Struthio camelus: one gene and its partners. The protein of the gene in region 1 purifies or fractionates together with the protein of each later gene. This does not show direct contact. Links are inferred from orthologs where the notes say so. Each region holds a gene or a part of one and is shown in the gene's direction. Other genes may lie near its edges. The genes, in order: RBBP7, PHF12, CUL4A and ARID4B.

The links.
Region 2: the proteins of RBBP7 (region 1) and PHF12 purify together in Homo sapiens (affinity purification with mass spectrometry; 5 studies listed by BioGRID and IntAct, counting the BioPlex papers as one, with this or other methods). This does not show direct contact. The link is inferred for Struthio camelus from reciprocal best matches to the Homo sapiens genes RBBP7 and PHF12.
Region 3: the proteins of RBBP7 (region 1) and CUL4A purify together in Homo sapiens (affinity purification with western blotting; 4 studies listed by BioGRID). This does not show direct contact. The link is inferred for Struthio camelus from reciprocal best matches to the Homo sapiens genes RBBP7 and CUL4A.
Region 4: the proteins of RBBP7 (region 1) and ARID4B purify together in Homo sapiens (affinity purification with mass spectrometry; 3 studies listed by BioGRID and IntAct, counting the BioPlex papers as one, with this or other methods). This does not show direct contact. The link is inferred for Struthio camelus from reciprocal best matches to the Homo sapiens genes RBBP7 and ARID4B.

The regions. Positions count from the first base shown.
Region 1 is NC_090942.1:138,747,006-138,754,076, forward strand, and holds the start of RBBP7 (histone-binding protein RBBP7), read left to right. Parts: upstream 1-4,064; 5' UTR 4,065-4,293; coding exon 4,294-4,309; intron 4,310-4,723; coding exon 4,724-4,868; intron 4,869-6,798; coding exon 6,799-6,941; intron 6,942-7,071. UniProt on the Homo sapiens protein: Core histone-binding subunit that may target chromatin remodeling factors, histone acetyltransferases and histone deacetylases to their histone substrates in a manner that is regulated by nucleosomal DNA.
Region 2 is NC_090957.1:16,782,479-16,790,120, reverse strand, and holds the start of PHF12 (PHD finger protein 12), read left to right. Parts: upstream 1-4,637; 5' UTR 4,638-4,754; coding exon 4,755-4,820; intron 4,821-5,200; coding exon 5,201-5,382; intron 5,383-7,642. Other genes in the region: SEZ6 (seizure protein 6 homolog), read left to right, coding at 1-102, 173-367, 480-671, 749-946, 1,034-1,072, 2,040-2,160, 2,248-2,350, 2,483-2,515.
Region 3 is NC_090942.1:156,807,767-156,815,528, reverse strand, and holds the start of CUL4A (cullin-4A), read left to right. Parts: upstream 1-4,751; 5' UTR 4,752-4,836; coding exon 4,837-5,017; intron 5,018-5,109; exon of another isoform or gene 5,110-5,178; coding exon of another isoform or gene 5,179-5,269; intron 5,270-5,614; coding exon 5,615-5,730; intron 5,731-7,762. Other genes in the region: PCID2 (PCI domain-containing protein 2), read right to left, coding at 112-177, 973-1,046, 1,629-1,718, 3,135-3,170. UniProt on the Homo sapiens protein: Core component of multiple cullin-RING-based E3 ubiquitin-protein ligase complexes which mediate the ubiquitination of target proteins. As a scaffold protein may contribute to catalysis through positioning of the substrate and the ubiquitin-conjugating enzyme.
Region 4 is NC_090944.1:89,169,028-89,176,682, forward strand, and holds the start of ARID4B (AT-rich interactive domain-containing protein 4B), read left to right. Parts: upstream 1-4,649; 5' UTR 4,650-4,962; intron 4,963-5,062; exon of another isoform or gene 5,063-5,290; intron 5,291-6,128; 5' UTR 6,129-6,184; coding exon 6,185-6,190; intron 6,191-6,203; coding exon of another isoform or gene 6,204-6,204; exon of another isoform or gene 6,205-6,342; intron 6,343-7,655. Other genes in the region: GGPS1 (geranylgeranyl pyrophosphate synthase), read right to left, coding at 3,582-3,637. UniProt on the Homo sapiens protein: Acts as a transcriptional repressor. May function in the assembly and/or enzymatic activity of the Sin3A corepressor complex or in mediating interactions between the complex and other regulatory complexes.

The DNA.
Region 1 (7,071 bases):
TAATGTTTATAAACTGTCTTTTCCATAGCAATCTTGATAGGCGAAAAGCACTTAATAGCAAGATTGTTGGTGTGTTTGCATATAAATTAAAAGAAAATTTGGCTGTGTGCAAGTATAGTTGCTAACAAAGGAGAAGATAATTGCACAGGTCACTTAGGGACTATTTTGACAAATAGGTGTAACAGATTTTTTTCATCAAAACTGGTACTGCTCCTCACAGTCCACTAAAATGCAACTTGACTTGCAGAGTCTAAACAACTGAGTCTTCCAAAACTGGTGGGGGGGGGAGGGGGAAGGGGGAACTTTCCTCTCTTAATTTAGAGTTTAATCAAGCCCTACATTACATCACTGAAAGACAATTTTGTCTACCTTTCTCCAAAAATAAATCACACTTTGCCAATTATATTCCAGGTAAGCCGTGGTGGAAAACCACTGCTGTTCACAGCCAAATGCACACACAATATCCCACCCAATGCTCAGATCGGCTTGATCCTTCAAGGGGCCATGTAATTAAATTTCATCAAGAGCTAACAGAACTCACTTAGAGCCAAGAAGCCTGACAGAGATTTCCTTTATTCAGTATCTGAGTTTTAACAGATCAGCACTCTGCACCACCACACAGGCTCTGAAAAGCTCAATCTTCACCCTCCCAGCATTTCAGGAAGGCCTCAGCACTTTGTAGGTTTAGACACATACTTGGCAGCAGATATCAAAACAACTAATAAGTGTTGCCAAAAGCAAGTTGGTAACTCACCTTGTACGATCAAGGTCCTATGTCTGTGTTAACATACTCACTAGTGCATTCCTATGTAGCAGATTATTCTGCAGCTTCCAATTAATTCAACAGAATTCTCATTTTCAATAAGTAAGCCATACATAGCTTTAATTCCAATTTGTGCAGGTTCAAGAAGATTAGTATATGGTTATTTGGCTTCTTCACCAGAACATTTCTGTTTTTCAGCACTTTGGCCCATAAAGGAACGGTTCATTACAAACGCTTCCTGTTCAAGGAGCTGGCTGTCTACTCCAGCCTTCTCCTTCAATTCCCATGCTACAACCTTTGGCTGCTGTTACTAGCCTCTGCGCTCCCCAGCCTCTCCTAGACATAAACATTTTCCATAACTGGATTCCTTCTTTGAAACACTGGAGTCCAGACTATAGAGGGCTCAGTCCATGAGGAGTTCCTCACAGAGTGAATATAAAAATCCTGGCTCTTACTTGGCTGTGCAAGTAAGCCTTCTCTCTTGCCACAATATCGCTAGCTGAGCACAATGATCTCCGCTACAGAGCTAATTTCAGCCCCTTCTGGGGCTCAAGGCCTTACCAATATAGGATTCTGCTTCCTGAGTTTAATATCAAAGCACTGATCTAAAGACTTTAAGTCACCACATGATAAAAGAACTCATGCAATGTGGAAGCAGAACGTTCCTCTGATTTTTTAGGGGCATTTGGGAGAATTTAGCCTGATTCCTAACTGCCTCTATTTCCATTATTCTGTTGGAAGGTGCTATTAACTGCCCTCAAGATCTGCTCTGGTTAAGGCTATTTTATATGCCAAGTGCTGTTTATTCAAGCTTAATAGAAAGCAGTTAAATGAAATGGCCTTTTGGTTAGTACTCGCTGAAACAAGAGAAGAGACTAGAAAGGTTGGGCATGTCCTGGCAAAGCCATACATTTGATTTGTATGTGACTGCTTAAAAGAAGCTGTGTCACTCACCACAGACAATACTTCTGACCCTAACAGACAGCTGTAGGATTTAAAACTTCTGTAATCCTGACTGATATTATGTGAGTGGGAAGTCAAGAATGCGGCTTAGTTTATTGGCATGCCTTTATTGCAACTCAGCAAACTTTCAAACAGGTATTTCTTGCAGCAAAATAAAAAAAACATATCTTCAGGCGCCATTGTTGAAAAATAGTAACTATTTAGCAGTGGTCTCTATAGCCATTTTTACGTATATTTTCTGAGCTGTGAAGTGGGCTTAGTATCTGAGTTTGTAGTGCAATTTAGGGCTTATTAGTTAAGACATACTAAATGACGTCAACCACCATTCTTTGCTGTTGCACCTAAGTTTGTTTCAAATGTATAGAGGCCGCCTGATAGTTGCTGGATCTCCAAGAAATTTTCGCTTTACTACCATCGCCCCAAATAGACATACATCCTGGAGCATGGACCAGAATAGGGTGTAACCGACACCGAGCAAAGAAACTTCCGCGGTCAGATCCTGCTTCTTGTGCAGGGAGTTGAGACCACCTCCTTCCTCGCCTGGCTCTGCAGCCCGCATGCGGCTGCCCGGTGTGACAGTAGTGCCACCTCCTGCTCGGCCCGCCGAACTGCACACCGCAGTCTTGCACATCTCCCCCCCCACCCCGCGTCTTTCCCTTCTTCTTCTTTATGCCCTCTAATCCCGTGGCTTCCCGATTTCAGCTACCTCTGTTGGCTTACATAAGACTAATGTCTGGTTTTCATTCCGGCTGAGATTGTTTTTTAACTTATGTTAAATATGTCGGCTGTTTTTTCCCCTTTTATGACTAGATTACCGTTTCTGATTGGTAAAAGGGAATATCTTGTATTTTGGGTATTTCTTTAGAAAGAGTCCATTTGTTTTCATTTTTCTTCTCGTTCACTGCACTGTTCCTCCTTTCCGGATCTGTGCAGAGTTGCATTCATGAAAACTGACAAATGAGTTAAGTACCATTATCACTTCTGTTTCCCAATTCCTACTTCCCATGTGCAATCAGCGATTACGCACTTGGTAACTCTGCCTTAGCGTTGCAGTAACAAATAAGGTAGTATAAAGAAGAGAGCCATAATAGTCTTTTCATTCCTCATCTACTCTTGAGTGCTGTACGGATTTTAATACTTCCAGAATTTCGAATTTTTAGTTTACCCCTCTCCTCGGAAGATCAGTGTAAATCACGTTTGTGAATAATACTTGGGTACTTTGATCCTCTACAGCGCTACTGAGGGGAGTGCTTCCCATTTTGATTTCTGGCAATACCCACGCTCGTTCTTCTGTTATCAAAAGGGAAGGTGCTTGTGCTCTTTGCAGTAATTGTGCCTGCAATTACTGCAGGGGTACCGCGTGGCTCTCAAAACTGTGCGCCAGGCGTCCCCTCGGGGTATTGTCCGAGTGGCGAAACCTATTATTAAACGGGAGGTCTACCGTGCTTACTCTGCATTATGCATGACTCTGAACAGCTCGGTATAGGGGCTTTTCGGCAGCCAAGATGTCCTTTTTCTAAATTGTATTTTTTTAGCAATTCCAAACTCTTGGTGAACAGATCATGAACACCAAATCCCTGCGTTTAAAGCATGCTCCTTTCATATGTCTCCGCAGGATGAACTCAGCTTGTTTTAGATGTTCTGAGGCAACTTTTGAACCGAACTGGCAGGTTGCTCTGTAACGCCTTTAAATGCGGTTAAAAAGCAACAAAAGCCGTTTGCCAACTCGCACAGCAGTACCGTCGGCGGTTTATTTTACTTAAGGCCCCACCTCGCGGCATATACACGTCCACGCCAATCTTAACCTTCTTCTGAATAAAAAGCCGCGCACTTGCGTGAAACCCTGGCTCCTCCTCGCCCTCCGCGACCCACTCAGTAACGCCGGGGGACCCGCCCGTGACACGGGCACGCCTGGGCGTAGCGACTGCCCGCTGCCAGCGCGGAGCCGGGCTCTGGGCCGAGTCCAAGCGCTTTCCTGGACAAGGAGGCGCGTGTCAGCCGGCCGCGAAAAGCCCCAGGGCCCCTGGGAGCCGTCCGTCCGCCAAGAGCCCCCTGCCCTCTCCCGCCCCGCCCGCCCTCGCAGTGGATTCAAGGGGTCGCAGAGCGCCGGCGCGCGCTTCCGACCGTTAGGCGCCGGGCGCCCACCCCCGCCCCGCCCCACGCGTGTGCTCAGCGCGCGCAGGCGGGAGGGCGAGCGAGGGGGCGCCTCCTCGGAGCGCCCCGGCCGGACTCGCAGCCCCGTCTCGCGCCAGCCGTTGAGCGAGCGAGCGAGCGCGCGCGCGCAGCCCTTTCGCCCTCCCCATTGGCCGCCGCGGTGGGTGGCGGCGTTCCGGGCGCCGCGGAGAGGGCGGGGCGGCAGCGCATGCGCGGTGCCGCCGCCGCCGCCGCCAGGCGCGGGTTGGGCATCGGCGGGGCGCCTGACGCGCGGGAGCGGCCGCGGCCGTGGCAGCGGCAGCGCCGCCGCGTCCTCAGCTGCGGCGCGAGCTGTGCCCCCTCCCCCCCTTCCCCGCCGCTAGCCGGTACCTCCTGCCCCTCACCTCGCCTGCGCGCGCACACACACGCCCAAAATGGCGAGCAAGGAAGGTAGGAGAGCACCCCCCCCCACCACCCCGCCTCCTCCTCCTCCTCCTCCTCCTCCTGCTGCTGCCCGGGCTGCGTGGGGCGGCCGTGCGTGAGCTGGGAGGGCGCGAGCGGAGGCACCCGCGGCCTCTCTCGCGGGGGCCTTCTGGCTGGGCGGTGTTGGCGGGGGGGGGGGTAACTGTCGCTCTGCCTCCGGTTGCCCCTCAAGAGGGTTTCGGGGCCCCTCTCCGCACCTTCACCCCGCCCAGCCCCGCGGCGCGTGGCGGGCACCGCCCCTCTCCCACCCCACCTCGGTGGCACCTCCCCCCACCCCCACCCGCGCAGCCCCCGGCGCGTGGCGGCGCCGCCCCCGCCTGGCGCGGCGCGCGCTGAGCCGTTGGCTTTTCCCCCTCTCCCCCCCCGCCGCCCCTCGCCCAGCGCTGGAGGACACGGTGGAGGAGCGCGTCATCAGCGAGGAGTACAAGATCTGGAAGAAGAACACGCCCTTCTTGTACGACCTGGTGATGACGCACGCCCTGGAGTGGCCCAGCCTCACCGTCCAGTGGTTGCCTGACGTGACCAGGTGAGGGAAGGAGAGAGAGAACTTGCTTGTCCTGCCGCTCTTTCGGTCGCTCTTCGCGGTGTCTGCTAGGTAATTGGAAGGTGAAACCGCAAGAGACTAGAATAATGTGGATTAGGCTCGTCTCGCAGTAAGCTTGTAACAGTTCATTTTACTTACAGCTCTCAAAACCCTTTGGATAGACAGAAGCTTTGAAGGGGAAAAAAAGGTACATATTGATACTGTAGAGAGCTCTAGCCTGACACAGCAAGATCTGCCTTGAGACGGCAGGGAAGAAGTCTTCCTTACTTTATTTTATTGATATGTAAGAGACCTAGCTGTTCTGCAGTAGCTTCTATTCAGAGAAAGAACAAACTTACTAAACTTTTACATGAATAATATTTTTCCTCATGTGCATTACCAATTACTGTTCTGTAGAAGATACACTTTTTTTTTTTTTTTTTGGGTCTGGCCAAATTTAAGGGGATGTTGCTCGGTAGAGACTGTGGCCCTTAATATCCTGCTTCTGTCCCTGGCATCGTTGACCTCAGATAACTTAACTTTCCCATTCTTCTCCCTCCCCCTAAAAGTTTGTTGGGTAGCTGGTTAATTTCTTAAAGAATTTTTAAGAGAGAGATGGATTCTCTTGATGTCCCAGCTACTAGAAAACTTAAATTCTCAGAGTAATCACTCAGGACTCCACAAAGTTAATGGACAGGTGTGGGTCCCTCATGCTGCTGTATCACAGATACAGCTTGGCTTTAAAATCTTACCCTTAAAGTTCATGCAGTAAAAAGAGGATGATCTTTTTCCTCTTTAAAATTCCACTTGCATAAGTGGCGTTATATGTGGTGGTTAGGTGATCACTTAATTTTGAATGCCAGGACGTTTGGGGAAGATGTGGAGAGATGTGAGCTAACTATTCATGGCATGGAGAAAATGAAATGGGGAATTTTTCTGAGGGTATGGAGCCCTTATGAGGAACACTTCTGCTTGCCTCATATTTTGCAGATTGACTTAATATTCAGTTAAAAACCTGATATTTCCAATTACCCAGTGTCAGAATATGTAAGCCATATAAGGCAAGGACTGTCTCTTTGTATGGCACCTGACATGATGGGACACCTATTCCTAATACAAGTAAGTGTGTGTGCATTGTGTGTTTTTTATTTTATTTCCCCCCCTCGCCCCAATTGTATGGTGATGCCCTGGAATAGGTGTAATAATACTGATGATGTTTTTTGATTGCCCACGTGATTCCTATTTCCTCTTTGCTTGGGTTCAGATAGCAGAATTAATTTATTGCTTTCAGGAACGCAGAAGTTGCTTGTTTTTATTTGCGTGTTCCAATTTTCCTTTCTCAGATATATGACACCGTCTCTCTGACCTTTCACTTATTACTAACTATTGCATTTAACCATCAAAAGGAATTTAATTATAGTTAGCTAGGGTTTGTGCACTGTTTAAAAATCAACTTCTGAAAACTGTAACAAAATACCAACTGGTAAAAGCATATTGAAAGGAAAGTAACTGAAATAGATTGCTGCTTTTCTCGGGTTTTGTTTTTTATAGAACATAGTATTGCTTGTCTTCCAAATTGATACTATGAGATTGCAAGGAGAATTAAAAATAGGAGTAATTACTAGGCAAACTTTAATTATCCTATTCGAGCAATAGCGGCAGTGTTTGTTGACTTATATTGTCACTCTTGGCTTGCTGGATGTATCCTTGGCTTGCTTATGTCAGGTAATTTAGTTCACTTATTAATTCACAAGTCTGTTGTGGTAAAGCAAGGGATCTCGTACTTGAATATTTTTGTTTTCTGTGGGTTTGTTTTGTTTTACTTTTTTAAATCTTCCTGCAGAAGTCTGGATCTTCAGGGTTACTGATACTAACCAATAAACTTTTGGAAATGAGCTCTTTAATTTTATTCTGTTTTTATTACTCTAAACAGGCCAGAAGGAAAGGATTATGCTCTACACTGGCTGGTTTTGGGAACACACACCTCTGATGAACAGAACCACCTGGTTGTTGCAAGAGTCCAGATTCCCAATGATGATCAATTTGATGCTTCTCAGTATGACAGTGAAAAAGGAGGTGGGCTCTGCATGCGTTTTTAGATGGTGTTCTAGCAGTAGTATTAACAAATGTCCTGTCCAATGGTATTCTAACTTGATCTTGTGTAGTAAAGCTGACATACTTACGACTTTACGCTAATTCTGCATCA
Region 2 (7,642 bases), on another chromosome or scaffold:
TCAAGCTCTACGCCTCCACGGCCGACGTCACCATCCAGTTCCAGTCCGACCCCGGCACCGGCGTCTTCGGCTACCAGCAGGGCTTCGTCATCCACTTCTACGGTGAGGCCGGCGGCGGGTGCACGGCGCCCCTCGCCCGCCCGGCGCCCGGCTCACCCCGCTCTGCCCGCAGAGGTGCCCCGCAACGACACGTGCCCCGAGCTGCCCGAGATCCCCAACGGCTGGAAGACGACCTCGCACCCGGAGCTCATCCACGGCACCGTGGTGACCTACCATTGCTACCCGGGCTTCGAGCTGGCCGGCACCGACGTCCTCATGTGCCACTGGGACCTGACGTGGAGCGGCGACCTGCCGGCGTGCGAGCGCGGTGAGCGGCCCCCCACCCCGGGGTGCCCCGGCGTCGTCGCTGCGCCGCGCGGCGGGTGTCCCCAGCCGGGGGGCGGGGGTCCGGCGTCACCGGCTGCACCTCCCGCCCGCAGTGACGTCCTGCCGGGACCCCGGCGACGTGGAGCACAGCCGCAGGGTGGTCTCCAGCCCCAAGTTCTCGGTGGGGGCCACGCTGCAGTTCGTCTGCGACAAGGGCTACGTGCTGACGGGCGCCGGGCTCCTCACCTGCCACGACCGCGCCGCCGGGGGCCCCAAGTGGAGCGACCGCCTGCCCAAGTGCATCCGTGAGTGTGCTCGCCCCTTGGGCCAGGCAGGGCGGCCGGCAGCGCGCCCTGAGGCCGCCTCTCCTTCCTGCCCGCAGCGGAGGCCTACGAGCCCTGCCACAACCCCGGGGCGCCCGCCCACGGCCGGCAGAGCCCCGAGAGGCGGCTGTACCCGGCGGGGGCCGCCCTGCGCTTCTCCTGCGCCGCCGGCCACGTGCTGCTGGGCGAGGGCAGCCTGCGCTGCCTGCCCGGGCACCCGTCGCGCTGGAGCGGCTCGCCCCCCATCTGCAAAGCGGGTGAGCGGTCCCTACCCCGCCGGCCCGCGCCGCCCCGCCGGCCCCCCGCCGCCCCGCTCCTCTCACCCGCCCCTCTCTCTCCCCCAGCCTCCTACGATGAGTTCTACAGCAATCGCAACCTGGACGGTAAGGCGGCCGCAGCGGCGGGTGGTGGAGGGCGCGGGACCCGCCGGGGTGCAGCGGGACCCGCCGGGGTGCAGCAGGCCCTGCTGGGGTGCAATGGGACCCACTGAGGTGCAGAGGACCCCACCAGAGTGCAGCTGGACCTATTGGGGTGCAGCAGGACCTGCCAGGGTGCAGCAGGCCCCACTGGGGTGCAGCTGGCCCTGCTGGGGTGCAATGGGACCCACTGGGGTGCAGGGGACCCTGCCAGGGTGCAGCTGGACCTATTGGGGTGCAGCCAGCCCCACCAGGGTGCAGCAGGACCTGCAGGGGTGCAGCCGGCCCCGCAACGGTGCAGCGGGCCCCACTGGGGTGCAGTAGGACCCACAATGGTGCAGCCAGCCCCGCTGGGGTGCAGCGGGCCCCGCTGGGGTGCAGCCAGCCCAGCTGGGGTGCAGCGGGCCCCGCTGGGGTGCAGCAGGACCTGCCAGGGTGCAGCAGGCCCCGCTGGGGTGCAGCAGGACCTGCCAGGGTGCAGTGGGCCCCGCTGGGGTGCAGCAGGACCTGCCGGGGTGCAGCCAGCCCCACTGGGGTGCAGCAGGACTTGCTGGGGTGCAGCGGGCCCCGCTGGGGTGCAGCAGGACCTGCCAGGGTGCAGCGGGCCCCGCTGGGGTGCAGCAGGACCTGCAGGGGTGCAGCCAGCCCAGCTGGGGTGCAGCAGGACCTGCCAGGGTGCAGTGGGCCCCGCTGGGGTGCAGCAGGACCCGCAACGGTGCAGCGGGCCCCACTGGGGTGCAGTAGGACCCACAACGGTGCAGCCAGCCCCGCTGGGGTGCAGCGGGCCCCGCTGGGGTGCAGCCGGCCCAGCTGGGGTGCAGCAGGACCTGCAGGGGTGCAGTGGGCCCTGCTGGGGTGCAGCAGGACCTGCCAGGGTGCAGCCGGCCCCGCAGGGGTGCAGCCGGCCCCGCTGAGCCCCCTCTCTCGCGGCCAGCCGTGGCCAAGGCCATGCCGGCGGGGAAGCCGCTGGAAGGCACCAACATCGCCGTCGCCGTCTTCCTGCCCGTGCTGGTGGTGGCCCTGCTCGGCGGAGGCGTTTACCTCTACTTCTCCAAGTGAGCGCCGGGGCGGCACTGGGGGCGGGGGGGACGCGCCAGGGACCCCGCGCCCGCCGGCCGCCCCAGCCACCTCTGTCGCCGCAGGCTCCGGGGCAAGCGGGCGCTGCAGCGGCCCCTCGCCGCCTCGCACCCCTACGACCACATCACGGTGGAGGCGGCGTTTGACAACCCCACCTACGAGACGGGAGTAAGCCCCTGCCCCCAGCGCCCCGCGCAGCGGCAGCGGGGGCCCGGCCGCGCGTGCCCGGGGGGGCTCGGGCAGCGGGGGTGCCCCCTGCCCGGCCCCCCCCAGCGCTGGCCCGTGTCCAACCCCTTGCAGTCTGCTTTCTTTGCAGGAGACGAGAGAATATGAGGTGTCCATCTAGGCGGAGGAGAGCCGGGCACGGCCGCTGCCGGCCCTCCTCGGCCCCCGCTGCGCCCGCGGAGACCCCCGCGCCAAGGGACCGGCCGGAGCCCGCCGGGGGACCCCGCTGTCACCCCCGGCACGGCCGCTGCCCTCCGGGGTGACACCTCGTTCACCACCGGATCGGGGCCCTGCATCGCTCCGGGCCGGCGGGTCCCATCCTGCCCCTCAGCACCCGCATGGGAATAACATGCCGCAGCGGAGGAGCCGGGGTGGGGGGGGCGCGGACGGGACCCCTGGGTGCACCGGGCCGGCCGGGGGCAGCGCAGCCGCCAGGAGCCCGGAGGTAAGGACACGGCTGCCCGGGGCCGGGGGCTCCTCGCCGCGGCGTGGCGGGGTGCCCCCCACCCCCCGTGCCCCCCGACGCAGCACTCGGGCCCCGGCGCCGGGCGAGGGGTGGGCAGGGGGAGCCGGGCACGGCCACCTCTGCACCCCCCTCTGCCCCCCGCCGCCACGTCGCGGCTGAGGCTTTGGACAGGGCCGGTGTACGACAGGGTCCCATCCTCAGCTGTGCATCCCCTTTTGGAGAGCAATTCCACCCCCCCCCGGTCCCCTCCTCCCCCCCCCCATCTTTTGGTCGTTTCATTAATAAAAAATGGTGTTTTAGAAGAAAACGTGGCAGTAGCGTGTTTCCCTGGGGCCGAGGGCTGGCCGGAGCGCTCCCCCCACCCCGCCAGCACCCAGGCTCAGCCGTGCACCTCGCGCCGACCCCCCCCCCACACCCGTGCCCCCAAGTACCCCCTCAGCCAGCATCCCCAGACTCCCCCCACCCTGCACCCCTCCTTGACCCCCACCCTGCAGCCCACTAACCCCCTGCACCCCATGCTGACCCCCACCCTGCACCCCTCCTTGACCCCCACCCTGCAGCCCACTAACCCCCTGCACCCCATGCTGACCCCCACCCTGCACCCCTCCTTGACCCCGATCCTGCACCCCACTAACCCCATGCTGACCCCGACCCTGCACCCCTACCCTGCACCTGACCCTCACCTTACTCCCTCCCCCTTGCCCCGCTGCACCCCCAAACCCGGCTCCCTGTCCCCTACACCGACCCCACCCCACCCTAAACCCCGCACCCTCCACTCTACCCCCTTCCCCCGCCCTAGCTCGGTGCGTGACAGCTTTAAGAGGCGGGGCTTCCGCGGAAATGACGTCACGGGCAGGGCCCCGCCCCTCCCGCCGGCACGCCGCGCGCCGCGCGCCCCCTGCCGGCCCGCTGCGGACCCCGCCCCGTTACGTCACCCATGGCCTCGCTCCCCCCCACGGCCTCGCTGCCCCCCACCGCCGCCGCCGCCGCCGCCGCCGCCGCGCCCGGAACGTGACGACAGCCACGCGCCTGCGCGCACCACCCTCCCTCCTCACGGCCGCGCCGCCCCGCCCCGCCTCCGCCGCGCGCCTGCGCCCCCTCCCGCGCGCCTGCGCCGCGCCGGCGCCCCGCGCGCCTGCGCAGGAGGGACGCGGGGCGCGAAAGGAGGAGGGGCGGGGAAAGGAAGGGCACGGGAGGAGGCGCGGCCCCCCCGCGCCTGCGCAGTGGCGGCGCCTGCGTCGTCGTCGTCGTCGTCGTCCTCCTCCTCCTCCTCCTCTTCCTCCTCCTCCTCCCCCTCCCCCGCCGCGCCAGGCCGAGAGCGGGAGGCGGCGGCGGCGGCAGCGGGGCGCGGGCCGCGCCTGCGCGAGGCGGGCGGGCGCGGGGAGGGGGGAGGAGGAGGAGGAGGAGAGCGGCGGGGCGCGGCGCGGCGTGCGCCTGCGCGGAGTGCGCGGCCCTGAGCGTCGGCGGCGGCGCCGCCTCTGTGTGTGTGCGTGTGTGTGTGTGTGTGCGGTGCGTGTGCGCGCGCGCGCGAGTGTGTGCGTGCGTGTGTGGCGTGTGCGCGAGGCGGCGGCGGGAGCGGGGCCGCGCCGGGCCGTCCTCCCCCCCCCCCACCCCTTCCCCCTCCTTCTCCCCCGGCCTTGCGCGGCATGGCAGCGGGCGCGGGGCCCCCCGCAGCCGCCCCCGGGCCCGGCAGGAGGAGGAGGACGGGCAAGCCGCAGCGGCCCGTGGGCTAGGCCCCGCGCCGCCGCCGCGCCCGCGCCGCCCCCCCCACCCCGGGGAGCCGCCGCCGCCGCTGAGGGGCCGCCCGCCCCCGTCTCGCTCCCCTCTGCCCGGTGCGGGGCGGGGTGGGGGGGCTCTCGGGGCCGCTCCCGGGCTGGATGAATGTGGGAGAAGATGGAGACCAAGACGATCGTCTACGACCTGGACACCTCCGGGGGGCTCATGGAGGTGAGGCCCGGCCGCGGGGCCGGCGGGCGGGAGGGGGGCGGGCAGGCCCGGCTAGGGACGACGTGGGGTTGCAAAATGGCGAGGGACCCCCCCCCCCAACCCCCTGCCGTCCCCCCAGAGGGGCCCGGAGCCCCGTGGCCATACAAGGAAGCGCGGAGGGAAGGAGGCGGCTCGCCCAATCGCCGGCAGAGGCCTTGCTGGACGCGGGGCCGGCGGCGGGCGGGCCCGGCCGGGGCCTTGTCCCCCACCGCCACACGCACCTTCCCCGGCGGGCCCAAGGCCCTCTCGTCCCGGCGGCCGGCTCGGAGAAGGGCACCCGGGGTCAGGGTCCGGCCCAGCCCCTCAGAGCCCTCTCTGTCTCTGTGTGTGTGCATGTGCAGCAAATCCAAGCCCTCCTGGCTCCCCCCAAGAGCGAAGATGGGGAAAAGAAGAGCAGGAGGCCCGAGAAGGAGCCCAGGCGAAGTGGCAGGGCCACTAACCATGATAGCTGCGATAGCTGCAAGGAAGGAGGGGATCTGCTGTGCTGCGATCACTGCCCCGCTGCTTTCCACCTCCAGTGCTGGTAAGGCTCGGCACTTATCTCCCTCCGGATCTGGGTGTCCCAGCCCAGGCAGCGCGTTCCCTCTAGCCAGGGCTGCACCACCACCGCCGGCAGCTCCTGCTTCCCGTTAGATCCATGCCTTGCACGGGGAGGGGGAAAACGGGGCCCGGCGCACCAGGCAGGAACAAAAAGGAGGTGCAAACCCCAATCGGCTCAGTCCCCGTGAGAAGTGATTAATCTGGAACAGCTGAGGTGAAAAGTCACTGCGCTGCCTTCTCTAGGGGCTGGGGACTGCGACCCCAGGCATTGCTGGGGGCTGTGATCCTCCTTTCTTTTTGTGCTGAGCAGTGGCTGAGAGGCCTAGAGGAGAAGTGAGGCTGCTAGCTGCGCGGCCTGGCTGCTTTGATACTGCCCGCACCAGGCCTTCCACCCCGCAAGCAGTTAACTTCCCCTCCTCACCCCTCTCAAAGGGTGCATTGCTTGGGGGGCCTCTGGAGGGTCGCGGCTAGGGGGAAGCTGCGGTCGCGTCTCTGCGCCAGGCCTGACGTTCCCAGCACTTCCGTGCTGCTGCAGCTGCTGGGAATAATGGAGGTTGCTTGTCTCTGTGTCTCCCTGCCTCACTGTTTACAATATGGCGACCTTCCTTTAAATTATATTTTTATTCTCAGCGCCATTTTGGCTGCAAATACGACTTCCAAACCCTCGCAGTGCTCCCAGAGGATCTGAAATGTGAAAATACCTTCCCTGTGTAAATCCAGGGCTCCAGACTTTAGAATCGGCCTGGTTTATTCCTTTCCCTCCTTTTTTCCTTCCTCCTGACGCTTCAGACCTGCTTGTCTCATCCACGGGAGTGACTCCTGTGAATTCAGAGTAGTTGGGTCTTCTTGCTTGGAGCTGTGTGGCTTTGTTGATAAAGGCAGATCTTTTTGCATGCAAATCTCGGGGCTGTGTTGGAGGTGCCAGTAGAGGCGGTTGCAAAGCAGTCGGTAGAGGCTGCAGTGGGGAGGATGGTAGAGGCTGCAGCGGGGAGGACTCTCGGTGCCTTGCCTCCGAGCTTCTCAAGCTAATAGCACAAAGCAACCTGGCAAAAGCACCTGAACTTTCCACCCTGAAGTTTTCTCTTTTCTGCATCGGGAGCCCAGATGCATCAAAGGCCGCCTTACCCGTATCTCTTGTTCAACAGTTGACACAGGCTGGCGGTTTGTGTTAAATTAGCACAGCCAGAGCGGATAATGGAGTGGAGGAGGGAGTGGGGCAAGTCAAACAGCTGGAGCTCGGGAGTGCAGAGTATTCTTCCTTAGGGGAGATTTTTTAACCGCATTCCTCTCTCTCTTCCATGCTTTGGAGCTTTGTTTGCTACCCTGTTACAGCTGTCTCCTCTCTTTATTTTTTTTATTTTCTTTTGCTTGGTGTTTATACTCTGCTTATATGCTAATTGCAGGTCTCTGAACACTTATTAAACTGATTACTGATACCAGGAAAACTGAATGTGCAGTCACAGTTCTGCAGGGAGTGTCCCGTTAGCAGTGTATAGCTAGACTTACCCAACAGTGCTCTACTGTGCAGCCATGACATCATCCCTCTTACCCTGAGGAAGTGCTACTGGTGGTAGTATATGTTCTCTAACGTTTGCTGAAAGATCACTAATATTTTTTGTCTGACTTTTTCGATAGGCCTTAATTAAGGTTTTGTTCTTGTACAGGACATAGTTGCTTAAAACTTGGTGTTTGCTTTCAGATGCTGTCAAAGTCAAATGGAAACACATTCTGAGCCTTCTCTAATTGAGGCTAGAGTGATTGCTAAAACTTCATGTTTAGATTTTGAGATGGAAGCGCTGTGACTAATGGTATAGCGTTTGCTAGTTGACTCTGTATCCTCGTTAATCCTAGCTGCAAATGAGTCCACTTTGCGCGTGCTTAAATCTGGCTAAATTTCATGACTTAATTTGACAAGTTTCTTGTGTTAGTAAGTAGGAAATGGTCGTGAAAATCAGACGTTTGTAAAGCTTTGGCTATGCTCTGGTCGAGTCAGTTGTATTAAAATATATGTATATATCTTTGGCTAATTAGTCACCTTTCAGAATAGGAAGAGGGGGCACAGTTCTGCTTATTCTTTCTCACTTTGTTACCTTTCTTGGAATATCTCTTGGATGAGCATTTGGATGGTCAGCAGTAACCCAAGCTCCAGTGTGTGAAGCAGCATAGCCTGGAATGCGCAGCAAGCTTGCTGCATGCTGTTGGATAGGCTGCTTCTCCAGAAGACCTCAAGCTTGGCCCATATT
Region 3 (7,762 bases), about 18 Mb from region 1:
TTTGGAAGCAGAATACATTCTATCAGAACTAAAAAGGTAAGGATAACTTACTACAAAAGAAAGCATAAAATTCATCTGAAAACAATGTATGGGATTTATGGAAAAGGATATTGGACAATAACTGTTTGGCATTTGTAGGCTTCTATAAAGTCATGGTTTCCAACAGCGTAAGTACACCTGTGAAACAGAAGGAACATTAGTACGTCAGAAAGTGTCCCATACCTGCGGACAAACGCTCTCTTTTTTTGCCTTTTAACAGGTATAGAGCCTTACACTCTATGTAAAAGAAAAACAGAAATATTTTTTAGAAATATTCCTAACACAGTGACACAAGCATTTTAATAGAGCACCGAGTTTGACAGTTGGGGAAAACTGATCTGAGAGATGAACAGGGCCTTATTTCTATAATCTGCACAGTATCAACTGTAATAAGCTAATGCTTACTGACACTGTCACTGAGACTGGCCTAGAAAAAAAAAAAATTCTAAGACTTTGGAAAGTGAGCTAAAAGATAGTGTTAATAAGACAGTGTTAATAAGATAGTGTTAATACTGAATTTTTTCAAATAAAAGCCTTGCAGAATTATTTGACTCTTACAGCTGTCCTAAGAGTAGGTTTAGGATGAATATTTCCTTCCCCTCTCCCCCTCCCCCCCAACATTTCTTTCTCTTCCTTATTTCACTCTGAATTCCTGTGTAACCAGTAAAAAAGAACAAATGAAATAGCAAGCACCAAACCCAAAGCTGTGTCAAGGGCTATATACAGATGACTGTCAGGTGCATAAAGCAAAGTCTATGCACATAAGAAAGAGAAGTTTTTATTTCCTGCAATTCTAGCACTGTTTATAAGAGCAGTAAATGCCAAATGTTCAGATGTAAGCCCTTTAAAATAACCAAGTAAACTCAAGGCTATGCTTCCCCATCCCTACAGCATGCCTCACAAATGACTTGTCCATTCGTGGTCCGCCATTACCTTAAGTGGGCTGCAAACATTTCATCATATGGTGGTTCCAAAACTTGTTGACACTTTTCTTCTGGAGATGGAAGCTAAGTATAAAATAAATATAAAATAAATTAATGAAACATTAAAAGAACAGACATTGCACCAGAAATAGAACATCATAAGGGTATTTTATCATGGCAGTCTTACGCATGCATGCCTTTGCTATCTACCAGAACCTTACATTATGCTAAGACTCACGCTCAGTGCAATGTAACTGCTAGCGTCCACTCTGTCCACAGGACCAGATTAGAGCTAGTCTTAGATAAAAGCCTCTGAAACACTTAGTGCAAGCACTGGATCTTCAGGACCAGGTGATTTGATCTTCATATCCACTCCCACTGTGCCACTTCACTTGCTCATGCAGACGTGGCCACAGGGAGCCTTCAAAACGCCTATCCAGAAAACAATTCAAAACGGAGGACAAAAAGCCATCCAGGAAAAGATGCAGATAGATAGTATACTTGTAAAAGAAAGGGGAGAACAAACCTACAAGGGGAACCTGCTCTGAGGTGTAAAGCAGATTTCTGAGGATTTTACCCCGTGGAAAGAAATCCCAATGGAGAGAGAGGAAAACTGAACACAAAATAAGGCCAAAAACAGATTTTCTCAGGATAACAGAGTCTTACTTGAAGCCTAGGGTTGGCAACATGTGGATGCTTAAATGATACCAATTCCGCACAAAATTGTCCATCTCTGCTGTCGATAGCTTCTTGTACCTACCCAGGAAAACAAACATATTACAGAACACAATCTAGCCACAGCCAGACAACATATTTACATACACCTAAGGAAGCTACCTTGTTATCACTGTTCATGCGTATCAGCACCTTCCCAAATGTAAGTTTTAAAAAGTTTAAAACTGAAGGAATCAATATCGGTACAGTATTGTTAATACTTTTAATTGTTTTAATTACTTTTAATTGTTTTCAAAAAGCTATCAGGAGAGAAGGTGAAGTAAACAGGTTTTTTTTTTTCTGTAGGATACAACCAAATCAGAGAAGCCCAAAAGAAGTTACATAGGTTTCGCATCTTAAGATAGCGGCTGTGAAATAGATTCGAAGTTTTTAAAAATTCCAGTTGGACTTATGAGCACCAAATATATATGTGAACCATTAAAAAAAAAAATCTTTGAGCATTACTGTTTGTGATGCTGCAGATGTAATTTGGTCCTGTCACCAATCAGGACTTGCAAATAGATTTCATATGAACTTATAGTATTTAATAATAAAAAGCCAGTTGCAGAAGATAATATTAATTCTCCTTTACTTGAAAGCAAACAGTCTCTGGAAGAGTGTTAGCAGTTGATTTTATGTTCTCTCCTCAGTTTTGCAGCTTTCCTTGCTGTTTTAGTCTATGAGTTTTTGCCTATGAGTGTTCTGATTTAGTACAGGCTTTTCATATAGTAAAGATATTTTTCCTACCAAGACATTAAAATATGACAAATTAAGCATGGGAATTGGGAAGGGGATTTTAACAACTAATATCTAAAAGTACTTCCACAGCAGATATGGTATGGAGGATGGAGAGGAGAGATCATTGAGACTGTTAACAAGAGAAGATGCTGACTTTTCAGAGCAAATCACTGTTGTGGGAGATCTCAACTGCTTCATTTCTGAGGCTGAACAACAAAAATTACTCACTTTTTCTCTCCTTCACTCAATTAACTTGACTGACCCTAACTCAAGAAAGGAATATGGTAACAGTGATGCAAACGTGATCATTCAAAAAGAAGCAACAAGAATTGTAGAGCTTGACATTGAGGATTCACTCCAGCTGACGATCCTTATGATCCTGTTCCTGCCTCTGCAGCCTCCTGCCACAAACACTTTGTCTCTGCGTTTAAACTGTGTATATTTATTAAATCCCCGCACACATGCGATTCCACCACATTAATTCTTATGGACAAACTGCTTCACCATCCATCATATCAGTAGTCCTCACACTATTCAGGAATACATCCTTGGCAGACAGTTAATGTACTTATCACAACATTAAGAAGTATATTTATTTACCACATTACACATTCTAGGTTGACTTCTTAAACAAGAAAATGCATTTCCAGCCAAAAAAAAAAAAAAACCTCCACATGCCCTTATATTCTGATAGTACCCACAAATAAAAAGCTTGCTTACTTGCTGCAAATACTGATTTATGGTGATATGCGCCATTAAAATAGAAGTAGACGACGCAGGAGTCCCCGATTAAACGCAGTTGTGTCCCATTCTGAAAACCAACAGCAGATTTAGAGAACAACGAAGTGACAAAATCCCAACTAGGTCTCTTCTTTCCCCCTTCGGCAACTCGGTACGACTTTACCCAGTCTTTCAGGACCCGGCACCTGCTGCCGGCCTCTAGGGAAAGGACGCAGCCTCAGGGAAAGCAAAGCAGAGCACAGGCGCGTCCCGCCTGCTGCGCGGAGCTTGTGCGGAGGGGGAAATCGCGCCACCGAAGCGCCGGGAGGGGAGGAAAGCCCCGACGGCCGCACGGACACGCCCGGCTGGACTGCTCTGCTGCCCGCATCCCCCAGCACGTCCCCGCCGGCACCTCCAGCCCTCGCCCTTGCCCCCGGCGGCACCTCCGCCATGCCCGGCCCGGCCCTCCCTCACCGCAGGCCCAGCCTCAAGCCAGGGCGCGGCGCAGCGCGCAACTTCCGGCAACCGCCACGGCGCTTCCGGCACACCGACCGCCTCGCGCGCAGCCCACGTGACACCGCTCCGGCCCTCCGAATGGCGGGGAGGAAGGGATCACGTAACGCCACCCCGGCTCCCGCTGCTCTCAGCGGGACGGCACTTGCCTCTCCTCTTCCCCACCCCCCGAGGGGCGGGAGGCGTGGCTTTCCCCCCGGCGGCCAATGGGGAGGCGAGGTGGGCGGTGCCGAGGCCGCGCGTCAGCGGGTAAACCTCGTGGGGGGCGGAGCCTGCGGGGGGTGCTCGTGGCCATAGGAGCGCGTAGGGGCTGGCGTACTGGTTGGTGTCGGTAACAGGAGCGGTGAAGGGCGGGCGGCCCCGGCTCCTGTTTGCCCTTTTTCTCACAGCGCTTGGTAGAAGGGGTCCATATCCTCCCTCTGCTAGGCACGCAGTCGCGTTTAGCTTCCCGGGTTCGTGTTACCTTTTAGCCTGGGTCCTAGCGATAGCAGAGAGGTGTGTTGTTGGGGAAACGGTCTCCTTCCCCCCCCCCCCCTGCCGCCCGTGGCCTTAGTTTTTCAACGTTTGTTGTCCCTTTCTGGTCGTTAACGGCTGTGCCCTCCAGAGCAACGCTGCCTGCAAGGATGGGCTGTATAAGCGTGGGTCAAAAAAAAAAAAAAAAAAAAAAGCTAAACTGAGCATTAGCTGTTGAAACTGCCTTGCTTTCAGAGCTCCGAAGGCGAGATAACTCGAGGCATGAAAAACAGCCGGTTCCTTAGAAAGCACGGTGCAGCCCTGTGCCAAACGCCACGAAATAAAAGCCAGAGGCAGCGCAGGGAACTGAGGCCCTTCGGAAGGATTACCTGGGCTAACCGACCCCCCGCTACCCCCCGCAGGCCTTCCGCTCCCGGCTCCCCTGCGCGGGCAGAGGGGGGCTGCGCGGCCATGGCGGCGCCCCCCCCCCGCCCGCCGCCGCCGCCGCCCGGCGTGCTCGGGAGCCATCTTGTGAGCGGGGATCGTGCCGCCGCCCCCTGCGAGGGCCGGCCCGGCCCGGCGGCACTTGGCAGCCGCCCGCGGGCAGGGCCGGGAAGCCGGAGCGGTGGGGGAGGAGGAGGAGGAGGAGGAGGAGAGCGGAGGCGGGGACCTAGCCGGCCCCAGCCCAGCCCAGCTCAGCGCCTTGCCCCGGCCGGACACGGCGCCCGGGGCGGAGATGGCGGACGAGCCCCAGAAGAAGCCGCACTTGTCGGCCTTGGTGGGCCACACTAACGGGCTCACCAAGCCCGCCTCGCTCGCCGCCGCCGCCCGCGCCGCAGGAGGAGGAGGAGGAGGTGGCGGCGGCGGCGGCAGCGCGACCGCCTCCTCCAAGAAACTCGTGATCAAGAACTTCAGAGGTGGGTGCGGGGCCCGCGGCGCGGCGCTGCCCCGGGGCGGGCGGGGCCGCGGCAGGTGCCAGGGCCGCTGCCCCCGCCGCCCGGCCCTTTCCCGACCTTTGTTTACTGCGGGCCCGGCCGCCTCCCCGCCCCTTCCCCGCGGCGCCCCGCCGAGGGGCGACATGTCGCCGATAGCGGCGGCGGTGGGGCGGGTGGCGCCGCCTCGGAGCGGACGAGCGTTTCGGGGGCCCGTCAACACCTCGGACGCTTCGGGTGTGTTTTCACAACTTTGGCAGCGACTGTGCCAGCGGCCCTCGGCGGGCAGGGTGGGCGCTTGGGTGCGCGGAGCCCGTGCCCGGGGGGGGGGTGGGTGGGCTGTCCGCCCGCTGCGCCGGCCGCGGGTGCGTGGCCTTGCCCTGCCCTGCCCTGCGCGTGGGGGCGGCCACCTTGTTATTGTTGTTTCACGCTTAAGCGGTCACACAGAAAAAAATTCCTTTGGGGGAAATGAGTAAAGCGCGTTGAGAAAGATTGCTACGGATAGCCGTTCCTTGGCTGGTTAGTTTTCAACTACCTGTATAATTTTTTTTTCTTCTCCCCCCCCCCCCCCCCCCCCCACAGAAAGACCCAAATTACCAGATAATTATACTCAGGACACATGGCAAAAACTTCACGAAGCAGTGGGAGCAATACAGAGCAGCATTTCTATTAAGTACAACCTTGAAGAGCTCTACCAGGTAAGATGCGTAGTGTTTATGGTTATTGTAACAGGCAGAGCGTTAACTGCTTTGGGACTTGGAGAGACCTACAGGTTTAACGTGGTGTGTCTTGATTAGTTAGAAGTGGATTGGATGTCCCGGACTGTTTTCTTGGTATTGTTTCTAGCCCGTTTTCACTGTTGTAGAAAAGTGGCTCTTAGGTCCTGGGAAAACTACCAGGGTCTGAGCTCGTGAAAAAGCAAATTATTTTGGGATACCTGGGAGGCTCCGTCTGGGCAGGGCTGACGTTTTAAGCGTCAGGATACTGAAAATTGGATGTTACCATCGCTTCGTTATGCAGGTGTATAATTTGTGATGATTTCTCTTCCACGTGTGCTTTAGTCTCTAGTGAATACTAAATGTTAAAATATTTGTTAAATGTTAAAATATTGGCTATAATAATAATTAGGCTTCGTCATCAATACATTTTGGGGAATTAAAATTGAGTAGGCAACAAACTATCCCTTCATCTCTGGTTCACATTACTGTTGTATTTTCAAAAGAACTGATGTCTTAAATTTTTGTGTTAAAATGGTGAAAAATTATTGCTGGAACATCTAAACCACGGGATAGGGGATAGGAAGGGTAAAAGAAAGAAATGGGCATGAGCCATTTCTTCCTCACCGTTTTCTCCATTTATGCATGATGTAGTTTTATATTATTGTAAATGTATGTGCTTTGAGATATGCCACTTTAGTACTTTTTTTTTTTACAATAATCGTGTTATCAAAAAACTGCTAATACAATAGGTTGTGCTATGTAGTTGAAGTTAGTTATGAGTTTGTTGTTGGTGCAGATGTTTGATCTGCAGATGTGGATCTCATTGTCAGATCAAGACTTAAGACATCAGTATTGCCATGAAAAATCTTTTAAATGCTCAGCAGAGGTAGGTTTGGAGTTTGGAAAGCATAGACTGTGAGGGAAGAGAAATCCAGTCCACACTGAGGCCATACTCAAAAAGTCAGCATAAATTGGACTCTACGATTAGTTAAGGTATTTAATATATGGGTGTAAAATGGGTGATTAAATAAATCCATATTGTCTTCATATAATTTGGTGCTTTTAAAAGGACCACTTGACCATGATTTCCGCATCTATTATTCCTTACGAGTTTGCAGAGTTTGAATTACATAACATATTTTATGGTTTTAAACTCAGCACGTGAAAAATCCTGCTTTTTCATGCCTGGCAAAAACATGCAGATGCTTTGAATTTTGCCTAACTTGTTTTCAGAAGCTCAGAAATGAGATTATAGTGATATGGGTATGAAATCACTAAGGTATAGACTTGAGTTCTGGCAGAAGAGGAAGAGAGAGATTTCAGATAAACTGCGAAGGGAAAACTCTATTTCTTGCTTTTTCGGCTTGCATGCTCCTTTGCAAAAACTGCACGTTGTAAGGCCAGTATGTCAGGTAGAGGTGCAAACCAGAAAGGTTCTGGTACAGCAGGTAGTGGATGTGAGTGTGTCTTTGCCTATGTACGTACTCTCCTGCCAGAAGAATAAAAGACCAAGTACAGCATCTATTGGAAACCTGATCTGTACTTACAGTTCATTTTTAACAGCTTGATGGTGAGCACAGAGTCCTCAGGGGAATATTTTTGTGTGTGTATCAGTTCTTTTTACTACCAGGGCTTTTTTGTGTGTGCCTTTATCTGACGTTATGAGAGGAAGTGAGAGGCCTACAAGGCTCACGCCAGCCTGCTTTTGAACTTCTTGATTTATCTATCTAATTTGGCATGGTGGCTGAAGAAAGACTGAAGAACAATGATGAGGCTCTCTGGGAAGTCTGAAGGATACTCCTTTCCAAGCATTAGAAGCAGCATGGGATAAAGCATGGAGGTGCTTAGCAGAGATATAGTCAGAGAGCAATCGGAGGGTGATGGGTAATTTTATTTTACTAAAATAGAAATGGTGCCTGGGACTGGTGGTAGTTTGCAAAGATGTTGATAAAGGTAGCTTGTGTTTGATCAGATAGAGAAAGTGAGGCAGTAGGAAGAAATGCCAAGTGAG
Region 4 (7,655 bases), on another chromosome or scaffold:
CCAGCTCACATAGCTTAGCACCTATATTTGCTTTTTTCCCCCCACCCTTTTCAGGCGGTTTTCTGTAATAGATTTTCCTCTCCTTTCACCTCTAGCGTTCCTTGCTGCACTGCAGATGCAGCAGCTCAAAACAATTCTTCTAATGTCATTTTAAGACAGGAACTGCAGCAGTAGCATAAAATTTCTCATGCTATTTCAGCATCATTTCTCAGTTATTTAGCAAGCATCTTGGAAAGCATGTACTTTTCCCTCTGCAGCAACTGAATGATATTATAAGTTACCAACACAAGAACTGCTTTAAAGTGACATCTTTAAGTATGGACAGAGACATTTTTAATATAGCTATATTAAAGGGAGCAGTTAACACCAGTGGGCTAAACTCTTCCACACCTGCTCAAAATAATCCAGCAATGTAGTTTCCCCTCAACAATTCAGAGGATTAGCATTAAGATCACTGCTTCCTCTTAAGACACCTGGACCAACTGGCATTCCTCAGCATTTCAGCATCTTTTCCCTTTCAGTGGCAGCTTATTCAGTCCCTGTCTACTCCCATTCCCACCCTCCTGCCCCATAAATATTTGTAGCAGCCCAAACTGGGGAAATAATTCACACGAACAATTATTTTCCAAGTTTACGTCTAGATCAGTTCCTTCATTTGGTTCACTACATGAAACCACACTGCAACTTCAGAGGCAAGAGGCTGTTGAAGCAAGCACAGTTGCCCAAGAAACACTCATAAGACCATGCCGTTTGGGAAAGCTTTGCATAGGTTTTCATCAGCAATGCCACAATAAGTGGTACAGCTCTTCCATCTCATGGTGTACCAGCACAACTGACTGTCAGGCCACACCATAATCTAAGTCAGGCTTAACACAACTCTTTTTGTGTCATCTTATTGGTATAACTGAAGGGACAGGAACTGCTTTTGAGCCAGCACTGCCACTGAGGAAGTCAGCTGTGAAACTGCACCCTCATACCTAAAGGGCAAGCCTCAAACTTCTTCAGTGAGGAAGGACAACCAAAAAGATTATCCCAGTCCATCGTCAGATATTTTGACCAGAAAGAAACTTGTAGCGAAAGACAGAAGGAGGCACTAACCAAGTTAACACATCTCCTATGACTATTATCACCAAAAAGCCACACAGCTGGCTTAGAAGTGGAAGTGTTTAGCTACCCACAGAGCTAAAGAGAGAGATGCTAAGGTTGGAATTTCTTCTCTGTCAAGGCTTCTCATAGCTAGAAAAGCAGTCTACAATGAGCATGCACAGTAAATGCTTTTATGCTTAAATGCATGCTAAGACTGAAGTCTTTCCCAACACAAACTGCTTGAAAGTAAACCTTGAAATTCTTCTTCTTCTTCCCTCAGAGGATGAGAAGGTTTCTTTCTTGTCTGTAGGACAGGCAAACAGCATTCAAGATCCTTAACTAGCTTGAAATAGGCTGGTATTACACCACTAAATCCCCAGCCTTCTAGTGCTAAACTGACAGAAGTCTCCTATATTAGTTTCTGAGACACTGCTTATCCACAGAAAGTTAGCCAGACACTTTTCCCTACAAGGGCCTAGATTTCTTCCTTTTCAAGACAGACATAAGGAAAAACACTTTAAGAGACAAATAATGGTTGGTGACTTAGCTTAAATTACCATAGCTAAGCTTTTCTAGGCTGCTATGCTACCTCTACATGAAATGGTAGATAACCTGTGCTAAGGGAAAAAGCAACAGTCTAATCATTCATAAGAAAACTACTTGTCTAACACACACAGCAAAAAAGAATAGTGACTAGAACTCCCCAAAGTTATATAAGAAAGAGGACACCTGATGAAATATGTAAATGAAGACGCTTAAAGGCTGATCAGCAAGAATATAATGAAGCATGAGAGAAGACGGAGAGCAGTAACATCACTGCTCTTTGCAGAAAATTCCTACATTTAACACACCACAGGAAGTTATTGATATTAAGGATTTTTCACTTAGGCAGCTGATCAACTTACTATAAAAGTTACACTGCTACAAAAAGTCCTCTCATTTAAGAAAATTTGAGACAAGATCTCAGTCAACATCTCCCAAAAAAGTAGAGCTGCAAGAACTTCAACAATAAATGAAAGGGAATATAAAGCCTTTATTGGTGGAAGGGCAATCTTGCATGTAGGTTTATTCAGAAAATTAAGGCAGTTAAGGCAATTTTGCTTAGTTCAGTTTTCTTTCAAACTGTACACACTTCCTGCATGTCAATTAACACAAAGCTTTGAATTTTTTCTAGCAGCTCCATATAAGCATACTGTAGAACAGCTGCTATAGGCACAATCCACGCCGTGACGAGACAGAACCCACAGAACTGTCTTTTGAACTGCAACATACTTTATCTTTAATGATCTCACTGAAAACACACAAGATGCTAGAAAAGAACAGCAGTATGGGCTTCCAGAAGTTGGAACTACTAGAGATAATTACTGAAGCAGTGATCCATAAATAGGAGCTTTCCAAAGGAGGCAAGTAACATTAGACCTATGTTGCACTTACAGTAAATCTTCACTTTTGAACTTCATAAACAGCTTCTCACTCCATCCCTTCCACTCCGCAGGATATTCTCTGCCCTTGTCCTCAGCTCCAATTGGTGAAATAAGCAAGATGACCAAAGTGTTCCAGGCTACATATACACCTAACAGAAAACGGTTCTTTAAAAAAAGCTGCCTCATCTCAAGGGCTCCATTCACAACACAATTGCACAGAAAATAAAACAGAGCCACCAAAGGAGCAGTGAACTGCACTGAAAAAAAACACCCAACCACCCAGAAAGTTCTTAAATCAGCCTCATCACAGAATGAGGTTCACTGGGACACTGGTTTCATTGTAACCAAGGAAAAAAGCCCCAACACAGGGGGAAGTAGGAGCGAGAAAGTCTGTTTCAGAAGGAATAAACAGATACTGTTGTGAATGCACACTGAATTGAAGAGGCTATCAAGGCTCCTAATCCAACTGGGATTTGGACAGGATGCTTGTCATCCTAGCTCACATTCTCATTCTAACTAGAAGAGTTCTTGTTAGAACTTCCTGGACTGATACTGAACAAAACCATATTGCACTTAGAGTAGGCAACATCCCACAGGTTGAACAATGGCTGTAAGGCATCCTCAAAAAAAGCAGCTAAATTACTGTCTTTTCATGGCTGCAATTTAACACTTTAGCCCTGCAACACCAGAACAGCTAGAACATCGTGTTGAAATGGAAACACAATTTCAGCAATATCTCCCGGTACAACTGAGTAACAACGACACAGCAGCAAGAGGAAGAGAACCAGCCTCCTGAAGTCCCCACACTTAAGTGGTGGCAGCATACAGACAGAAAGAGTGCAAGTTATCAGCTGATCCAAACACAGAAAGCAAACCAGCAGAGACCAGAGTCATGCCTACTGCAGAATCGCTTCTCAGATTAAAAGTCGCATTTCGCAAAGAACATGAAGTTGTTACCCTGCTAACAGATGCGTGAACCCTCCCTCCCCCATCATAATCGCAACAAAGGCGGCACGGTTCATTTTTCAGAGTTTGATGCGAGCGCTGTAAACGCAAAGGAGGCTGCAGAACCTCTCCGAAGCGCTCCCACAACCCAGGAGTGGGCAGCTCAGCACCACCAGCGCCATTTTAGATAAGACACGGTCGAGAGCGCGCTGAGGACTCCTCGCTCCCCCTGCCCGCCGTCCATCCCCATTTTCTGATCGGCGCGGCCGGCAGCCCGAGCTCAGTCGCCGGGCAGGGAAGCGCCGCCCGCCTCGGCCGCTCAGGCAGCCCGCGACGCCACCGGCGCCGCCCAACCCGCACGGCGGCCGCAGCCGCCGGCTCCGGCCCCCCTCCCTGCTCACAGCCCCTTCCCGGCCCCTTCCAGGCAACCGGCCAGCCCCTCCTGGGCGGGGCGGCCGCGAGAGCCGCTCCCCTCCCAGCCGGGCTCGCCCTCACCGCCCCGAGCCCCGCTCCAAAGGGGAGTGGGAAGCGCCGGCTCCTCTGACGAGCACAGCCTGCTCTCCTCCCCCCTCCCCCGCCGCCCCACACACCCGGTCACGGGCAGCGAAGCCGCCTCCCACCAGTAACGGTCGGCGAAGGCGGCGCGAGACAGCCGCGGGCGGCCGCTCGCACGCGGCCTCAGCCCCAGCAACCGCCGCTCACCTCCTCTTCGCCGCCAGTCGGAGCCGCACCACGCTCCGCTCCGCTCCCCCGAGCGGCCCGCGCCAGGAGTGGCGCCGGCGGCGGCAGCAGCAGCACCAACGACGCTCGAAGCACCGCCCCCTTCCGCTTCGCCAGGCGCCACCTTCCCCCCTCTTGAGGGAAAATGCGCCACCAGAGCCTCACTGCGCAGGCGCCAGCTCCGCCCCCGGTTTAATTAGCATTCGGCTTCGGCCCCGTCCCCTCACGGCCCCTTCCCGCGGTGCGTCCTGGGATATGTAGTCAGGCTCGTGTGCCAAACCGCTTCTCGAGCCCTGGTGAGCGGCGAGGGAAAGCAGCAGCACCCATAAGTCTTCTCGGTGCCGACTCTCAGTTTCCATAGAACTGGAGAAGAATGACGTCAGTATTTCCGAGGCGGCAGCCAATGGGGCAGAGGGAAGGGAGGGGCTTTGCAGGCTGGAGCCCAATGGAGGAGGCGGGGAGAGGGGCGTGTCCGTCTCCCTCCCGCCCTTCTGTCCGTCCGTCAGTCAGTCGGTGCGGGAGGGGGAGGGGGAACCGAGAGGCTCCGAGCCGAGCAGTCACCGCCGTCGCCGCCGCCGCCGCCACCGCCGAGTCCGAGCCGGACGGATCGACCCCGCCACACGCAGCACGGAGCAGACGCTACCAGAGCCGTTGCCGGAGCGTTGACCGGGGGCCGAGGCCGGGCGAGGGGGGTCCGGAGCTGAGAGGAGGCTTCGCCCCGTTCCCGTCCCTCCCCCCCGCCTCGGGTCAGGGGGAGCAGCGGGCGGGCGGGCGCCGCGGAACAAAGGTAACAGCGACGAGCCGGAGAAAGAGGCGCCGGGCGGCGGCGGCGGCGGGCGCGGGGGGGGGGGGCGCGGGGCCGGGCCGCGGCGGCCGGGCGTGCGTGCGGGGGGGAGGGGGGCGGTTGTTTTTCTCCTCGGAGCGAGACTGCGGCGGGACTCGCCGATCCTCCTTCTCTTCTCTCTCTCTCTCCCCCCAAACACCCGGCGGGGGGGAGGGGGATCGGGTGCCGCCTGCGTGCGGGAGGGACCGGCGGCTCCTCCAGCCCCCTTCGCCTGCCGACAGGGGCCGGAGCCCCCTCCTCCACGCAGAGGCTCCGTGTCCCCGCTGAGCAGGTCGGGCCCCTTTCTCCCCGCCCCCCTCCCTCCCTCCCCGTTCCCACTCCCTTCTTTTCTTCTTCTTCTTCCTTTTCTTCCCCTCCGCCGCGTCCCTCCCCCCCCCCCCGACCCGCTGCGCCGAGCTGGGGAGTTGCGGCTGTTGCTGCTGAAACTCCTGCCGCGGAGTCAGCGCTTTCCTTTATTTTTTTTTTGGGGGGGGGGGGGGGGAAGCCGCCGCGATCCGGAGCCGCAGCCCCTGCAAAAGCGTGAGAGTGGCGGGGGAAGGGGAAAGGTGGGGGGCTGCCCCCGACGACACCCTCCCTGCCCCACGGCGCAGGCAAACACTCCTCTTCCTCGTACAATGGAGGAAGAGCCTCCCTCCTCCCCTGCCGCCCTCCTCCTTCCCCCTCTCCGGCGCCCCGCGGCAAAGCGGGGGGTTGGGGGGGGAAGGAGGCGGGGGGGGGGTTGCCCGGGGCTCGGGCCCCTCCGGCCTCCTGCCGGTGCCCGCGGAGGGGGCGCAGCGCCCCGGGAAGGCAGCCGGGGCCGCCTCCCCCCGCGGCAGCCGGGGAGGCTGGGGGTGGGTTGTTGTTGTGGCAAGTTTCTCCTCCTCTGACAGAAATGGCGTCAATGGCAGCGAGTGTAGGGGAAGCCGCGGCGTGCGGGAGCTGGAGGGGAAGCGGTGGCCGGGGAGGGAGGGGAGCGGGCTAAGCGGGGGGCTCTGGGGGAGGCGAGGGGGAGTTTCGGCAGGAGCCCGGCCTCCCCCCCCCCCTCCCGCCCCGATCCTGGCCTCCCCTCCCCTCCCCCGCCCGGTGCGAGCGGCTGGTGCGGTGCCTCAGTGCTTTGTTTTAAATTCCAGGTCCAGCCTCGGCCGCTCAGCCCCGATCGAGGCTTTTACCGCAGCCTGAGCTCATCATGAAGGTAAAACACTCACTTGTATGTCTGGGAGGGGAGGGGAGGCAAGGTTACGTGAAGAAATGCCGTCCTGGCTGTCAGTCCGTCTGTCCCGACCCCGGTGCGAGGCTCGGCGCTGGTGCGGATCCAGACTGCGGGCTGCTTCGCCCCAATGCTGTGTTAGTGCCTCCGCTCCTTGGCTGCTCGTGGGGCGGGTTTTGCTCCACCACGTTTTGCTGGGGAAAGTGCAAGTTCGCTGAGAGAGGGCTGTTCTCCTTCAGAAACATTGTTTGTAGGAGAATAAGGACATGGCTGCCTGGGCTGAGCTTGCTTCATGGAGGAACAGGGGACAGTCGCCCAGCTTGAGAAAGTAATGTTGCAGGGGAAATGCTGGCCACACAGCCGTGTTTCTCTGAATAGAGGGTAAATGGTAGATTTACTTGCCTTCTCTTCATTAAGAGGAGTTTTGTTGAATGAGTGATCCTGATCTGATCAGGAAGGGAGCATGTAAGAGATTCTCTGCAGCGAAATGATTGCTGTAAGGTGCAAAAAGATTTTCAAACAGGTTTTAATTTTCTTCTCAGTGCCGTGTACTAGTCACATACAAAATTGTCACAAAGTGAGTGCACTTTTCTTCTCTTAGGCCTTTCTGGACCATTGCTTTTTGATACATTGGACAAAGTTTTATAGAAAAAAAAAAATCAGTGGCATAAAATGATTTCTTCTATGTATGGCAAAGAACCATGCACCTAAAAGTAGTTTTTAAGAACTGAGATTATTAGTCCTTTTGTCATTTTGCTGCTGATTTCTCGCTTGAGCTGCTTTTTATATTACCCTGACCCCCAGGTTGTGTAATCCAGATCCTGGCTATGCTGGGCTGCAGTGAATCTTGTTTCAAAATATTATAAACCTTACCAAAAATGATGATTATGAAGCTATGATGCATCAGGTCATTGGTATTCATCAATAAAAAGAGCAGTATGTATGTGGAATCTTGCACTATCAGAGTTGTGCTACTGCATATCAGTTTGTGTATTATGTAAAATATGTACCCTGTACTGTATTCGCTGCTGGAAATGGTAGATGATATAGACTTTTTAATTTCTAGATTGATATGATATTACTAAGAGTAGCAAACTGGGCCTTTGTATAGCTGTTAAAGGTTCAGCCTGTTTTGCTTACTTTGGTGACTTAATGACAATATCTTAGGAAAAACAGTCCTGCTTTAAGTGCCCTTCCTCTGCTTTCTCTCTAGTAAGTGTTAAGATCTAAAATGCTGCACACATCTTTCTCATTAGAAGTAAACTATTTATGAATTTACAAACAACGGACTGTCAATGTAGTATGATACGGAGCTTCTCAGCTGTGGCCCATTGCCTAGCAGGGATGCAGGAGATGGAAGCAAAGGAAATAGGAGGCAGTATATGGAGCTATTTTCCCCCACAAGCAAAACCACTTATTTAAATGACAGCTAAATTTACGTACATTTCTA